Struthio camelus: one gene and its partner. The protein of the gene in region 1 purifies or fractionates together with the protein of each later gene. This does not show direct contact. Links are inferred from orthologs where the notes say so. Each region holds a gene or a part of one and is shown in the gene's direction. Other genes may lie near its edges.

Evidence for each region.
Region 2: the proteins of CEBPB (region 1) and ATF3 purify together in Homo sapiens (affinity purification with western blotting; 3 studies listed by BioGRID and IntAct, with this or other methods). This does not show direct contact. The link is inferred for Struthio camelus from reciprocal best matches to the Homo sapiens genes CEBPB and ATF3.

The regions. Positions count from the first base shown.
Region 1 is NC_090959.1:10,031,353-10,038,870, forward strand, and holds the start of CEBPB (CCAAT/enhancer-binding protein beta), read left to right. Parts: upstream 1-4,370; 5' UTR 4,371-4,658; coding exon 4,659-5,645; 3' UTR 5,646-6,769; intron 6,770-7,378; 3' UTR 7,379-7,518. UniProt on the Homo sapiens protein: Important transcription factor regulating the expression of genes involved in immune and inflammatory responses. Also plays a significant role in adipogenesis, as well as in the gluconeogenic pathway, liver regeneration, and hematopoiesis.
Region 2 is NC_090944.1:114,230,656-114,238,040, forward strand, and holds the start of ATF3 (cyclic AMP-dependent transcription factor ATF-3), read left to right. Parts: upstream 1-4,222; 5' UTR 4,223-4,410; intron 4,411-7,385.

The DNA.
Region 1 (7,518 bases):
GGAAAATTTTCCGTCTGGTAGGAGAAGGTATTTTGCTCATGTTGTCCCACCGGCTGGAGGCACCAGTGCCAATCTCCAGGTGTCGTCTCTGCAGCACCCGGTAGGGCAAAGAGCAGCAAGTAGATAAAGCAGGGATTGAGCAACCTACCACTGCAAAGGCCAAGCATGCCGGGTCAGAGGTGAGCAGAAAATAAGCAGAAGACTAACAAATACCCGAGCATCATCATGTCACATGGGAGCAAGGGGTGAGGGAGCACTGAGTCAGGGGGAGGACTCTGTGCTGCAACGAAAGAACCGCACGAGGCCAGGAGACCTGGCCGCAGCGGGCAGCCGAACAACCTGCCATGGGAGCTTGCAATGCTGAATACAAAAGCTGGAGTTCAAAGAGAGAGGGGACCAGGTGCCCACAGTTTTTTATTTCAAAATAAGGCAAAATCTCAGGTCTGAGAAGTAGGGGAGACAGAAGGAAAGCCAGCCTCTTCCTAAGTTGAGACATTGTCTCTATCTGATGTTGATACAGTGGAGCAGGGTGAGTGCAAAGCAATAGCCTGAAATTCGGCCTCTACCAGGTACAGCGCTTGAGTTTTTGCTGGCATAAGGTTGGCAGCTGCATAAAAAAGGACCTGGGGCCAGGAAGAAGGAAAAGGCAGAGCACAGAACATGCTCAGAAATAAACTTCCATTTTACTTCTCTATTTTTCAGCTTTTATTACAGCATGGCTCCACTTAAGTCAGCCTCTCAGACAAGATCACCTCCTACCCCCCAGCAAGCTCCCCAGGTCGCCCCCGTGCTCTCCCAGGCTCTCCCGAAAGCCATTACACTCTCTTCTTTAACTCACCTCCAACACACTGTCTGCAACACCTTGTTCACTGGTGCACGCCATCAACTTCTGGCATTAACCTCTTCCCTCTTAGCCCCTCTTCTGCTCCTGAACATCTTGTTTTTGGACCGCAGATCTCTGGGCGAGCTGCGTGTTCGCACCATGCTTACCATGCTGCAGCACTGATCTGACTGATCTGCTAGCAATTACTGCAAGGCAAATAACACATGAGAGAAGTCTGCAGCAAGAAGCATCAAAATTATAGCCAACTTTTTCCTAGCGTACAATCCCCAATCCATAGACCTTCTTACAAACACTTCAGTGTATGATGTGTCACTATTAAACTGGTATCTTCTCCTCTAGGCTGATGTCCTTCAGGGACAGCTGCTGTAACCTAGAGGGCAGGACTGGAGAGCTTGTAAGAAATAGTGGAAAAGAAGACAATTTCCAGAAAGAAGATGCCTCTACAACGCTTTAGTGTAGGGTTGAGCCTAGAGCTGGAAAATTGTGGCTTTACAGTACAGAAGGGAAACTGGAGGGCAGAATCTAAGTCCTGACAGAAATGAGCAGTGAATAAGAGATTCTTCCCTCCACCTTTTCCTCTTTCTGGTATCAGTGTGCTACCCTTCCAGTATTTATATTGTTTTACGCATGAATCCGGAAGCATCTGGATTTTATTGCATCAGAAAAAAAATTTTTTTTGCTCAAAAATGTTGATGTTCTAACTAAGTAATCTGTGAATGATGCCGTCTCCTTCCCCAGTTGACTAGTTCTGAAAAGGGAAATCATGAAATCATTAGAAAGCAGGCGCTTTTGACAAAATATTGACTTTCTGCTGAAGGTTGCTCTGTCAGGACACCCATTGCAAAAGTGCTCTCACCCTCAGGTATTTCACAGGGTGACACCAGTACCTGGACCCCTCAACCAAGAAATGTCTGCACCTCAATTTCTGCCTAAAGTATCTCTCTAAAGCGAAGGCTTTTGGGGAGGATTAGTAGCCCGTGCACATCTGGCCAGGCCAGGCCACAGCAGTCTCAGGGACAGGACTGAGTGTGCTCAGGCCCCTGCCCAGGCTGCCTGGGACAATCCTCCGCAGTGTGCGCCTTGCTCTGCACCTGCTCACGCTTCCAAAACCCCATTTCTGGCCATGCATTTGTTATGACAAGTGCAAAAACAAATTAAAAGACACAAGAGTTAGCTCAAAACTGGCTTGCTGAATGTGAGGGTTTTGGATAAGTGGTTAATTCCGCCAACAAGGTTCCCATGAGAAGTTGTGACTGGATGTTGCTTCCCCGTGAGTGGCTGCTGGGCTTTGAGGTGAGCTGGAGGAAGTTTAAAGAGATGCAGGGACAGTGCGGAGGTGAGGGGGGAGACGGGATGGAGGCGACAAGCTGGGCATCCAGCCTCAATTCCTGTGCTGGCTGACGTGTGATCTCCGTGAGTACAGAATTACTCAGCGCGGGCCTGGAAAGGAGGTGTGGGCCATACCATCTCTGATACAATCTCTTTCACATGATAGTTGCACAGACATTTTGTTAGGGAAGATCGGCCTAGGCTCAGGTACAACTTTCTGCTACAGAGCAGCAGCAAATAGGGCAGCAGGTCAAAGAAAGCAAATGTGAGATCCCCAGAAACATCTTGAAAATTTGCCCAGGAGATTTACCAGTTTTAATGTTCAGTTTTAGCTAACGGCCACGGTAAGCTAGAGATCTGCCAAAGACCAAACATGCATTTCGGGGAGCCATCACTGTAGGAGACCACCTGCTTGTGAGTCCCTCTGCTTGGAGGTAGAAAGCACGTGAGAGCAATTTCCACGAGTTCAGTTGCAAGGGCCAGTTACAGCAGCCGTTGCCTATAACTGCCAGATGAGAACGCAGGATAAAGACATAGAAGAAAAGAGTAAACTGCCAGAAGAACGAGCCCCGGCTCACTACAACTTGCCAGCATTTGCACCTAATACAGATGTTTGTCTTCATGAAGGTATGGGCTGCAGCTACAACCTGCAGACCAGATCTCTGGCCAGGCCCAGCTCCAGTTTAATCTCTGGTGCACTCACCAAAGATTAGCCTGGTAGATAAAGATGGAACTAGAAATATTTGAAGTCTGCAAACCTGTTAGGGTACTTTCATTATGGAAAGAAAAAGCCATTGAAAATGTGAAAAGAAAAAGAAAAGAGGAGAAAAAAGAAAAGAAAGAAAAGCCTGATGGTCTACTGACTGATTTCTGAATTCTTCCTCTTTTCAAAGTTTTGAGGTTTGAACATTATGAACAGTTGACTGTTTGAATCGCATAATGCAATACCTGTTCCTCTGGCTTAACGTTACAGTATTTCCCACACCGCAGGATTGCTTCACATTATTCTGAGAGGCAGTGTCATTTTCCCTGCAGTGCTAGGCCTTCTTTACTAAGGCGAAGGACACTCCTACTTCCTTTAATTATATGTTTTGTTTTAAATTAATGTCCTTTATTCTGGGGATGAATCACCAGCTTGTAGACAGGTAAATGTGGGAGTAAGAGAGAGAAAATATAAGTTTGATTCCCAAGGTGGGTGTCTTTAATTAAAAACGGACATCAAGATTCAGTCTTCCTTCCTAAACTTACCCTGCAATTCTAAAAACACGTGGATTCCATGTTTCTATGCACGTATCTCACTTTCCTTCTGAATCACTTTAAATACGGCCCCCTTCGGTTTCAGAGCACAAATTCCCTATCACTTGTGTACCCTGACAGTTGCACCATATCATGTAAAGTAAATACGCCAAGACAAACGTTAAGGCCATCATCCCTGCGTGAAGAGGTGGGGAGGGGAGCGCAGGGTTTGCTCAGCTCTCTAACCGCTCATAGCCGCAAGAAGGAAGTCTGGAGCAGCGCCGTGTCCTGCTCCAGCTCCATTTCACCGAGTTCCCTGCTGGCTGTTGTAAAGTGGTTCGGAGCACGTCTCTATGGGACAGTTTTGCCTGCCAGTGGGATTTACTTGATTAAACATTGGCCGGAGAATAACAGGATCTGTCTTCTATTTGCAGCTTTTTCCCTGCCTTGGCAAAAGAACTCGGAAAAATCCCTCCTGCCTTGATTTCCCCAAGGGTAAAACAGGACCCAAACGGGATTTGCACCCACCTCTGCACGGCACTTTCCGCCCTACAGCACTAAACCCTACTCTCAGGTGCAAAAGATCCAGCCTGTACTGGCACGACGGCGGCAGCAGCGTCTCAGGACGGGCGACACTCGTGTGTGTCCACGTCCCGCAGACCCTCCAGGGGCGAGTAGCGTCCACTGACCTCTCGTGCAGATTTTACAACAGCTCAGAAAAATCAGCCGGCAGGAAGAAAGGTTGCCCTGCTCTTTCTCTTACCTGCAGGACTGTGCGAGTAAGTCCCCTCCCTCAAAAGCCAACCCTGTTTTATTCCGGGTGGCTAGGTACAGTCGCACACGCACACACCCCCCAAGTGCCTCCTGCGGGGCCAGCGCCAGCGGTTGCGAAGTGTGCAGCGTGGCAGGCGGCCAGGCGCTGACGTTCCTGTTGCTATGGGATCCACCGCCCCTATAAATAACTGAGCAAAGGAACTTTCCTAAGTCAGAGACTTTAGGACACGGGACCCAGAACCAGATGGTCCGGAGGCGAAACGCCGGCTCGAGTAGCACCAGCAGGAGCGGTAAAGCCCCGCCGTGCCGCAGGAACTGATCCAGCCCCGGTGCTGGGCAGCGCAGCTGGGGGCCGTACCCAGCACCAGAGACTGAGGCAGGGTTTGGAGCCCCCCACCGCAACGGCGGCAGCTTGATCCTCTGCCGGGGGGGGCCCCTGCGCTGTTTTCTCCTCCCTGCATCCCTCTTTGCTTTCATGCAACGCCTGGTGGCCTGGGACGCAGCATGCCTCCCCATCCAGCCACCCGCCTTTAAATCCATGGAAGTGGCTAATTTCTATTACGAGGCGGACTGTCTGGCTGCTCTGAACAAGCTGCACCCGCGGGCGGTCGGGGGCCGCTCCATGACCGAGCTCACCGTCGGGGACCACGAGAGAGCCATCGACTTCAGCCCCTACCTGGACCCCTTAGCATCCCAGCAGCCGGCGCAGCCGCCTCCTCCCGCAGCAGCAGCAGGGGGCAACTTTGAGCCTGCCTGCAGCAGCGGCGGCGGCCAAGATTTCCTTTCCGATCTCTTCGCCGAGGACTATAAAGGCAGCGGCGGCAGCAAGAAGCCCGACTACACCTACATCAGCCTCGCCCGGCACAGCCACCCCTGCGCCAGCCAGAGCCACAAGCCGGGGGGGCTGCCGGGCTGCTTCCCGCCCCAGATCGTGGAGACCAAAGTGGAGCCGGTCTTCGAGACCCTGGACTCTTGCAAGGGGCCCCGTAAGGAAGAAGGGGGAGCCGGGCCGGGACCGGGGGGCATGTCCTCTCCCTACGGCAGCACCGTGCGCTCCTACCTGGGTTACCAGTCGGTGCCGAGCGGCAGCAGCGGGAACCTGTCCACCTCGTCCTCCTCCAGCCCCCCCGGCACCCCCAACCCCTCCGAGTCCTCCAAGTCGGCCGCCGCCGGCGGGGGCTACTCCGGCCCCCCGGCGGGCAAGAGCAAGCCCAAGAAGTGCGTGGACAAGCACAGCGACGAGTACAAGCTGCGCCGGGAGCGGAACAACATCGCGGTGCGCAAGAGCCGCGACAAAGCCAAAATGCGCAACCTGGAGACGCAGCACAAAGTCTTGGAACTGACGGCCGAGAACGAGCGGCTGCAGAAGAAGGTGGAGCAGCTCTCCCGGGAGCTGAGCACCCTCAGGAACTTGTTCAAACAGCTGCCCGAGCCCCTGCTCGCCTCCTCGCCGCGCTGCTGACCCCCGCGCCGGGCCGGGCCGCGCCGCCGCCGGCTCCCTCCTCTCGGGCCGGGAGAGGAGGAGAGCCCGGGGGGCGGATTGGTTCTGTTTTCGGGGTTTTTTTTTTGTTTTTCTTTTTTTTTTTTTGGTCTTTATTTACGTGTGGGCGGAAGGCCCCGCCACGGCGAGCTGCCGCGCGGGCTGCCCGCGGGGGCCCCGGCCCCGGCCCCGGCCCCGGCCCCGGGCGGGCTCCGCAGGCGGCGGGGCGCGGGGGTTATTTAAAACGGCGAGAGGAGAGCGAGGGCAGAGTGATGCAATCCTTTAAGCATGGCTGGGAATGCTGTGTACATGATGCAATCTCGTGTAACTGTCAGTCATGAATTGAGTAATCTGTTAAAGATGTTCCTACAGTTTTTTTTTTTTTATTATAAAGAATAATCTATTTCTATAAGAAAATACATATGTATATTTTGGGATCTATGCATTCTTGCTACATTTGAAGCATTAATGAACAATTTTAATAAACTTTATGACTAGGTTAAAAAAGTAGCTTGTTTTATTTTGAGAGCACGTTTAAAGTGAGATTAGAGACAGAGCTGAAAATCTAGCTCAATCTGGCTCAATGCTGAGATCAAGGACCAAGATTTTTTTTTGGTCTTTTGACTTTCTCTGTAACTCAGCAAAAAAAAAAAAAGGAGGGGGAGGGGGACGAAAAAAAAAAAAAAGACCTAGCAAAGAGCAGAGCTGGGAGCTTTAGCCAGTTCTTTCTTGCTGCCTCTTCTTATTTCCTCTTATCACTTGCTTTAGCTGCAGCTTGGGGGTTGTTTGGGGAGAAAGTGTTTGTTTTGGGGTTTTTTGCAATTCTCGCTGTTCTTGGTGTGTAGAGACGTGCTGTCCAAAGCGTGAGCAGTACCTAGCAAAGCAATGCCAAGTCTGAAGTGGGAGGGAGGAAGAAAAAAGTAAGGAAGGAAGTTTGAAATGAGTTGTTGTTGTTTTTTTTTCCTTTAAGGAGTGTCTATTCTCCAAGTTACAATTCAGCATTTCTTGTGTTTGTAGTTTACAGGAATAAACATGAGGAAGTAGCATATCTGTTGGATGTCAGTAATTTGGTCAAGGCTGAGAAAGCTTGCATGAAACCTGGCCAGGTGAGAGGCGCTTGAATAACTCTCCCTAGTACTTTCTCTTGAGACTTTTTAAAAAATGTTTCTAAAAACCGTGGGTAGAGTTTCTCCGTTGAAAGCTGTTTGTTTATGTGTGCATGCGTGTTTGCTGGGGCAAAACAACAGATAACGTGTGGGGGTGGCAGAAAAGGAGGAACTTGCAATAGGCCATAACTTTGTTTCAAAGAGCAATAAGGCTTTGCTGCCGCTACGGAGCCCGACTTGCCAAGGCCCCCGAGCCGTGTATTTCCTGACTCCCCACTGTTCGCTGCTGTGTGGATGTCTGTAAAAAGTTAACCGTCTTGAGCTGGTTACATGGAGGGAGTTGAGCAAATGATCAAATCTTACTCAGCATTTTCCATTTTCCTGTTAGGCCAAATTTAACCACTAAGTTTTAAAATCTGGATTCCCAGTGCCCCGCAAAAGAAATTTCCTCACTGTCTATACTCTGTTTGACAGCTGAATAGAGAATATATTTTTTTAAACAAAAAAGTAGATTTGAATTTGCTGCTGTATATTCCAATATAAAGAGTAATTTTTGCAATTCTCAATGCAGAAAAAGGAAAAATCTTGATTTTGATTGCTTACTTCTAGCGTTTCTTTAAACAAAGCATGAGTTCTGCTGAAGGAACTGTTCTACATTTTTGACACTTAGGATCTTCTCCTCCTCCGGCAGGTAAATCTCCCAGAGCTCTTACTAAAATATGTTTTGTGTTGCCTGCTTCCGCTATGCC
Region 2 (7,385 bases), on another chromosome or scaffold:
TTTTTTTTTTTAAATCACCTTTTGGGAGACCCTTGGAAGCAGTCCACAGATGCCCAAGGAGTCCCCAGGCAGCAACCTGAAAAGCCCTGGGCTGGATGGGAGCTACTGCTGCTGCTTCTACCACAGAATAGTCCCTTCGCTCAAGCAGTAGCAACCTCAACTTTGGAAAACATAGTCCCAAGTTTCATCACTGCTGATGGTCTGGTCAAATGTCAAACTAGTCTGAGAACTAGCGTGTGTTTTGAGGAACAGGGGTATCTTACCGCATAGGTTCAGAACTGGATGTACGGCAGAGCACAAATCATGGCAGAAGTTAATTCTCACCACGGAAATATCGAATACCTCTCCTTGGCAGAGAGTTTAATTTTGTGCTGGTTTTGCAACACGGTACATCGGAGTTCCAGAACGCTCTTTCTCATATGTGTGCCATGGAGGGAAACACTGGACCCACCAGGGCTACAGTAATACAACTAAAACCACTGAGCACACAGGGAGACCGATTTTACTCAAGATATCCCTACACGTTTAATGTACATTTCGTTGCATGTTCCCCAGACCAGATGGGTTTAGTGGAATTGTATGACCATAAAACCACACAGGATCTGGATTTTATGGTGTTATTTCGACTGAGATTGTACAGTTTCATAAATTTTAAGACAAGGGAGAGCAGAAAGCTTTCATGGTGAGGGTGCAAATCCATTGCTTAGCAGCTCTGTAGAGAACCACATTTTAGTCTTAACCAAATCCCCGCAGTGTCTGAAGCAGCGTGAAGGGATGTGGAGGCAGGATGTGGTCAGGAAAAGGTAGAGGCAGGAGTGCGCTCCTCTCCCTGCGCGGGCTGCAAGGACAACACCATGGGGTGCTCCTCGGGGTGGTGTTTTCTCCACCGAGAGAAAACCCAGTAGCTGTCCGTGCTCTGGTGAGGAGCTGCTGTGCCTGGCTCCAGGGAAGGCAGGAGTAATTAACACTGACTTCGTGGCTGCGAAATGGTTGCTGTTTCGGCAGGATTGTCCCCTGAAGTTTCTGGTAGCAGCAGACAAATGAAAGAGAAGAGCATTGGTAAACGTTTAGAGGGAGGCAAATGAAAGGTATTTAAAGCCATGTTGCAAAACGAACCTGGCGAAGAGCATTAGAGCGTCTGGTGGCTCCACTGTTTAGCTTCCTGATATTCTTTATAGTTATATGTAACTTCTGGGAGCTGGAGTCGGACCCTACATCTTTACTGAGTCAAGTTAGCTTTGGGAGCAGGATCAAACCTATGGGATACACTGGAACTTAGCTTATTTTTCCCTGTGGTTTCATTTTCTTTTTTTACAGAAGAATTTCAAGCCAGGACATGTTTCAGTGGCCTAATCTTAAATGCGCACAGGAACAATCTCTCTGTTTGTTTTGCAGGGAGGAGCTCTCTCATTTCAGAGGCAGTTGAAGAATTAACACAACTGTTTTACTGTCAATTTCTAGTTCCAAACGTAGCTCATTGTCAATAATGGTACCAGCAGTAATGAAGAAGTGTTGTATAGAAAACAAACGTATCGGTTTAGTCTTGTGTAACACAGTACTATTTCAAAAACTCAGTAATCATCTGCCTACTTGGTGCAGTGTTGTGATTGTTCGGCAAATGTTAGTGACCCTTAAACAACAGGATAAGAGTACTTATTTTCCAAAGGTACTTCTAACCACATAGAAGGAGGGAATTGCTTTTTTTTCACCTTTACTATTCTGTGGCATTGCTCTACTTAGCTAAAAATACTCTAAGTTTCCATTTATGATACAGCTAGTAAAATAAGAATGGACAGTTGCTAAATCTTCTCTGTCAGAATTACAGCAAGCACCTGGTCATGACCACTAAAACTAATGTTGCTAAACCGTTTCCACAATAACTTCATGCTCAGAACTTTCCAACCAATTATCTTTTGAGATGAAATTTTCCACATTTGGCCTCCTTCGGGAGTAATACTTTTTCCTTTGGGTTTGAGAAAAATGACGCCAGCTGTTTTCGAGTGGGGCATGAATGGTAAAATTATGCCTTTGTAGTAATAAAAATTTCACAGACTGTACCAAGCTGAAAAGCAAAACTTGCTCTAGACCCCTGTGAAGAGCAAAGTTTTTGCCTGGAATTGTATTTGCCATTGATTTACATAGATTAACAAAGATAAGATAATAAACATGTTTTGAAAGAGCTGAGATTGATTTATCTATAGGCGAGTACTTGAGCCTACAGCTAGAAAAGCCTATAGTTTGCAAGAGTTGCAAACTGAGGGCTGCCAGGTAGGTCAGAGGAGCTCATTACGGCGTCCTCAAAGTGCCTTTCATCGTTTGAGGAGAGCAGGGAACAACTGTACCTACTGCAAGAGGAAAGCGAACATCGTTAGTCCAAGCTCTCTTTTCCTTTCCCACCAGATTTTCTTTCCTTTTTTTTTTTTTCTCCAAAGCAGACAATGAAGTATAAAATAGTGTTAAGATTGTGAAGTTGAGCATGCAAGCGTGGTGCCATTTAAAAAGCTAAGACTGCTATTCATGTCTATGCGACCAATGTACACACATTTAGGTATTTACATGCGTACACAGGCAGTCACACACGGAGGGGAGATACAAACCCACGGACGTTACATCAACTGGAATGTAATACCCTTGTTAAAATGCTCCAAGCAATTAGTACATCCCAGAATAAACAACTGGAGACATATTATCATAATACAGCCTCATTGAACTTTATGAAATTGATTAACTTTTTGGAACACTGTTGTTCAGGGTATAAGTTGTAGCTATAAATAAATGTATCAGTTAATACAGTTAGGACATCCTCAAGCTTTTAAATGTCCTGATCTTTCCGTACTTGGTACATAAGAAAGAGACCTGAAGACTTTGTTAACGGCCGTTTTTGCACCTCTGGAATATGCTTGTGTTGGATAACAGCGTGGGTGCATCTGCCCTTGCAAGCGTTGTGCGCCTCCTTTGGGCAAGCGTTTCTTTGACAGATCTATGTTCCAGCACTTTGGGGGCTGGTGGAGGCAATTTCTGTTGTTTAACGAATCAGGAAGCTACGAAAACAGAACAGAACAGAACAAAACCCCCTTCACCACAGCCAACACCGCCATGCTTCCCTGTCTCCTACGGCGGACTCTTTGGTTTTCCCTGAAAGCATAAGGACATCGTGAGCTGACGTGTTTTAAGAAAAGGATTTTTTGTTATTTGTTATTAGCTTCCTGTCATGCCATTGAATGGGTCTTTCCTCCTCAGGGTAAAAAGTGAAGTCGTCCTCTTCCACATGTAAACTGAACTTTTCGCTGACATTTGAAGCAGGACGGGGAGAAGGATGCGTGGGAGGAGGGGAGGGCTGAGCAATTTTTCAGTGAAGTAGGATCACATTTTTCAGCCCTTTTGAAAAAAATCTTCCCTTATTTTCACTTTCTCTAAGTGTGGTGAAAGGCTCTTTGGCTCGTTCTGGATCAGCAGAAGGCGTCCCACCCGCCGAAAGACGCCCCCCGACTGGCGGGGGAAGGATGAAAGCAGGACGGGAGAAGCGAAGCGGGAGAGCGCTCGCGGGGCCGGCGGAGCGCACGGGGCCCCCCCGCTACCGCCGCCCGGCCCTCCCGGACCCCGGGGCCGCCCCGGGCGCCCCCTCCCCTGCCTTCCTCTCCCCTGCTCGTCCCGTCGCTCGCGGCCCGGCACGCAGGTGCGGGGCGACCATCCGGCGGCGCGGCGCGGCGCGGCGCGGCTCGGCGCGGCGCGGCTCGGCGCGGCGCGGCTCGGCTCGGCGCGGCGCGGCTCGGCTCGGCACGGCACGGCACGGCTCGGCTCGGATCGGCGCGGCTCGGCTCGGCACGGCTCGGCTCGGCTCAGCGCGGCACGGCTCGACTCGGCTCGACTCGACTCGGCTCGGCTCGGCTCGGCTCGGCTCGGCTCGGCGCAGCTTGGCTCAGCGCGGCACAGCACGGCGCGGCACGGCTCGGCGCGGCTCGCTCGTCTTATGGTGCGCGCTCCGTGCCGCGCCGGGCCGGGCCGGGCCGGGCCGAGCCGTGCGGAGCCGTGCGGTGCGGTGCCGCCCCGCCCCCGGGCCGGCGGGGCCGCCTTGCATCACCGCCGCGGGCCCCCGCGCCCCCCCCGCCGCCCTCTCTCCCGCGGCGGCTATTAATAGCATGACATCAGCCCGGGACTCGCCGCCAGAGTAAATACCAGCGCTGCCCACTCGGCTATATAAGGGGGGTGATGCAACCGCGGCGAGAGGCAGAGGCGCGGCGAGCGGTGAGCGGGCGCTGCTCTCCCGGCGGCGGCGGAGCAGCAGCAGCAGCAGCAGCGCGGACGGCGGAGCGCGGACTGCCGCGGCCGGGGCAGCGCCGCGGGGCAGGCGCGGAGCCCGCTCCCTCCGGACCCTCCCGGGGCTGGGAAACCGGCGGCGGCGGCAGAGAGGTAGGTGAGAGCGGAGACGGTCGCGGGGACCCCTGGCCGGCGGGGGCGCAGCCCGCCGCGCTGCCGCCCGCCGCCCGGCGCGGAGAGGCGCCCCGGGGCCGGTCCCGACGAGCCGGGCGGAGCGGAGCTGGGACCGGCGCCCCCGGCCCGGCCGGGCCCCCGCGCCGCTGCCGGGGGGAGCCCGCCGGCCGCTGCCCCGGTGGCGGCAGTGCGGGGCGGCCCCGCGGCTGCTGCCCGCGCCCGGCCCGCGGGGATGCCCGGTCCCGGCTCCGGCGGCGGCGGCGCCCTGGGAGCGGCAGCGAGCGCCGTGCGATCTCGCCGCGCTCACTTTTCCCTCCGTGCCGGTGACCGCCGCGGAGAAGAGCGGTTGCTGAACTGTTGCCTAATCGAGTCAGGCGTGACACAACAGAAAACTTGCTAGAGAGAAGGAGTTTCCTGCCCGAAATCGATTCCCTTCGTAGTAAGAGCGTTTGAGGAGCTGGAAGCCAGCAGAGAGTGACTCGGGAATGATGTGGGATGTCAGAAGGCTTAAGGTCAACCAGCGTGCACAGAGGTTGCGAACTGTAATTGCCCTTAATGCTATTTAAGATTAACCTCAATGGTTATCGGGGTTTATTGCATCAGCACCAGAGGAAAAGGAATTTGTGTGAAGAAATAAAACCAAGAGGCTCAGTCAGCCGTGTACAGCTAAGCCAAAGAGAAAAGACTTGAAGCAGTCACTTATAGTATCAGTATTAAACTACAATACGCTTAAGTAATAGAGCCGGGGACCTCACAGCTAGGCACTGCATCCTGAAATTAAAATATTGTCCAACGAGATGTAAAAGTTCAGTGTAGGTGGAAGGAATCATCAGTAAAAGAACAAACAAAAAGTAGGGAGGGAACAACTCTCTAAAGTTGTTTGAGCCTACCAGAATTTGGAGGGAGCCATTAAGAGAAAAGCTGTTAACTGTCGAACTAGGGATAAGGCAAGGAAGCATTAACTCACACTGGGAGGGAGCTGTGCCTTTACCGGCCAGGTCTGTGACCTGTTCAGCACCTTCAGCAGCCAAGGGTTTCAGAGGTGTTCGGGGCAGCCTGGAGCCCAGGGCCACGCGCGCCCCTGCTCTGGCAGAGCAAACAGCAACGCTATCGGAAAGGCCCCAGTGTGCTCACCCTGTAAGGTTAGACAGTCCTGTTCCTGGTATTTCCCCAACTGTTTTAGGTTCTTTACAAACCCGAAGAAAATGGTACACTGCTTTTGATAGCTTATCGAGAGAGATAACGTTTGGACAAAAACTGGGAGAAAGGAAGGGAGGGCAAACTGTTGCATTTTTTTAATAACAAAATCTAATTTTTATTCTTGTAAAACATTTCTAAAAGCAGAACTCTTCTTCAGAAACAGGAAAATATCTACCTTACTGTTAAGAAAAGGAAATCTATTTAGCCTACTAGGTAGCTTTGAGACAAGGCTGAATATTTTTATTATTTATACCATGGTGGGTCCTACAGCTCTCAGGGCTGGAGAGGAGCCCTACCATGCTAGACACTGTCCACAAGCCCTGCTGCGGAGCCCCGAGCAGCGAACCGGCGGCACATAGCTCCACGAAATGGGAGTCGGCTGATGGCAGAAATCCTCACGCAAACCTCAGCCCCCCGGTAGGCCCTCCCTTCCCTAAAGTCTGAGTCAATAGAGGTGCCTTTCAGGATGTTGAGAAGGTCAGTGAGCTGCTCCGGCAGGAGAGCAGCAAGTTTCTACAGCCAAGGACACTTCCTTCTCCGTGCTTCCCCTTCGGGTGGCCACCTTCCCACTCCCCTTTTTTCTTTTTAAACCGAGGGGAGACCGACTGGAGTACCTGAGGATATTATAGTACAGTACAGTACTTACTGCTGCCAGTGCTACCCTTAGCACTAACAGAAATCCGGTGTGAACAGTGTTTCTCAGGCACTTGGCTGAAATATGAACATTCTTGGTTTCCTCTGGTGAGGAATATATGAGTAAAGGAATAAACCACCAGTGCTGGGAAACTGTGAGCCCAATTAATTATTTTGTAGGTTGTTACTGTTAATTTAAGAGTCCTGATTTGAGTGCATTAAACATAATTGACGTTGTCAAATGGAACCATCTCCGGGAGCCAAAGAGACTGACAGTCAGCAAACAGAGCTGCTAGCAATGAGGGGTTCAGCGCTATCTGGACTTAGCCTGTTTCAATGTGTTGAATGGTTGCCTGTTGGTAAATGGTAGATAATGTTGGGAGAAGTTTAGCTGGAAATTATAGGGATGTTTCTGACTTGTTGGAAAAGAGTAACTGCTTGCTTTCTGAAATTATAGGATTAAACTGTATCAGTACTTTAAACGTGACTCATGAGCAGGGGCTTTCTGGAGAGAATTACATAAATTTCCCAAGGTCTCTCTGAATAACAAATTGTTCCAAATAATTTCCCCGTCTTTAGTAACTAAAGGTGAAATCCGGGCCCCACTGAGGTCAACAGAAAAACTCCTTTTGACTGCAGTAGGTTCAGGATTTCACCTCCAGAATGTGGGAAAACTTCGGCTATTCTGTGGTCACCGAGTCTGAAAGCGAGGGGACCTGTGCAGCCGGACAGTGTCATTCTCTCCCATCAGGCAATTCGCTGTCCTCAGGATTTGTATTTACCTCACTTAGCAATGAACCAGCCTCTACTCTGACTTACAGCAGGGTGGATTTACGGTACACTTTTAGATAGCTCTGAGCAAAATCTATCTTCCTGTCAAGGCGCGTGATGCCCAGACGTTTCTTGCTGTGTTACACAGGTAGCATACAGGGAACTGTGCAGCTCTGGGCTGACTATGCGGAAATTTAACTTACCCACATTGCTACCCTGAGGCAGCTACTTGCTTACCTGCATTAAGTTAATTATAATTGACTTTGCTGTAATTATTGCAATTCTAGTCAAGAGTAGATAGCACATATTGTAATTACCCCAACAGCTATTTAAAAAAGAAAAACCCCAAA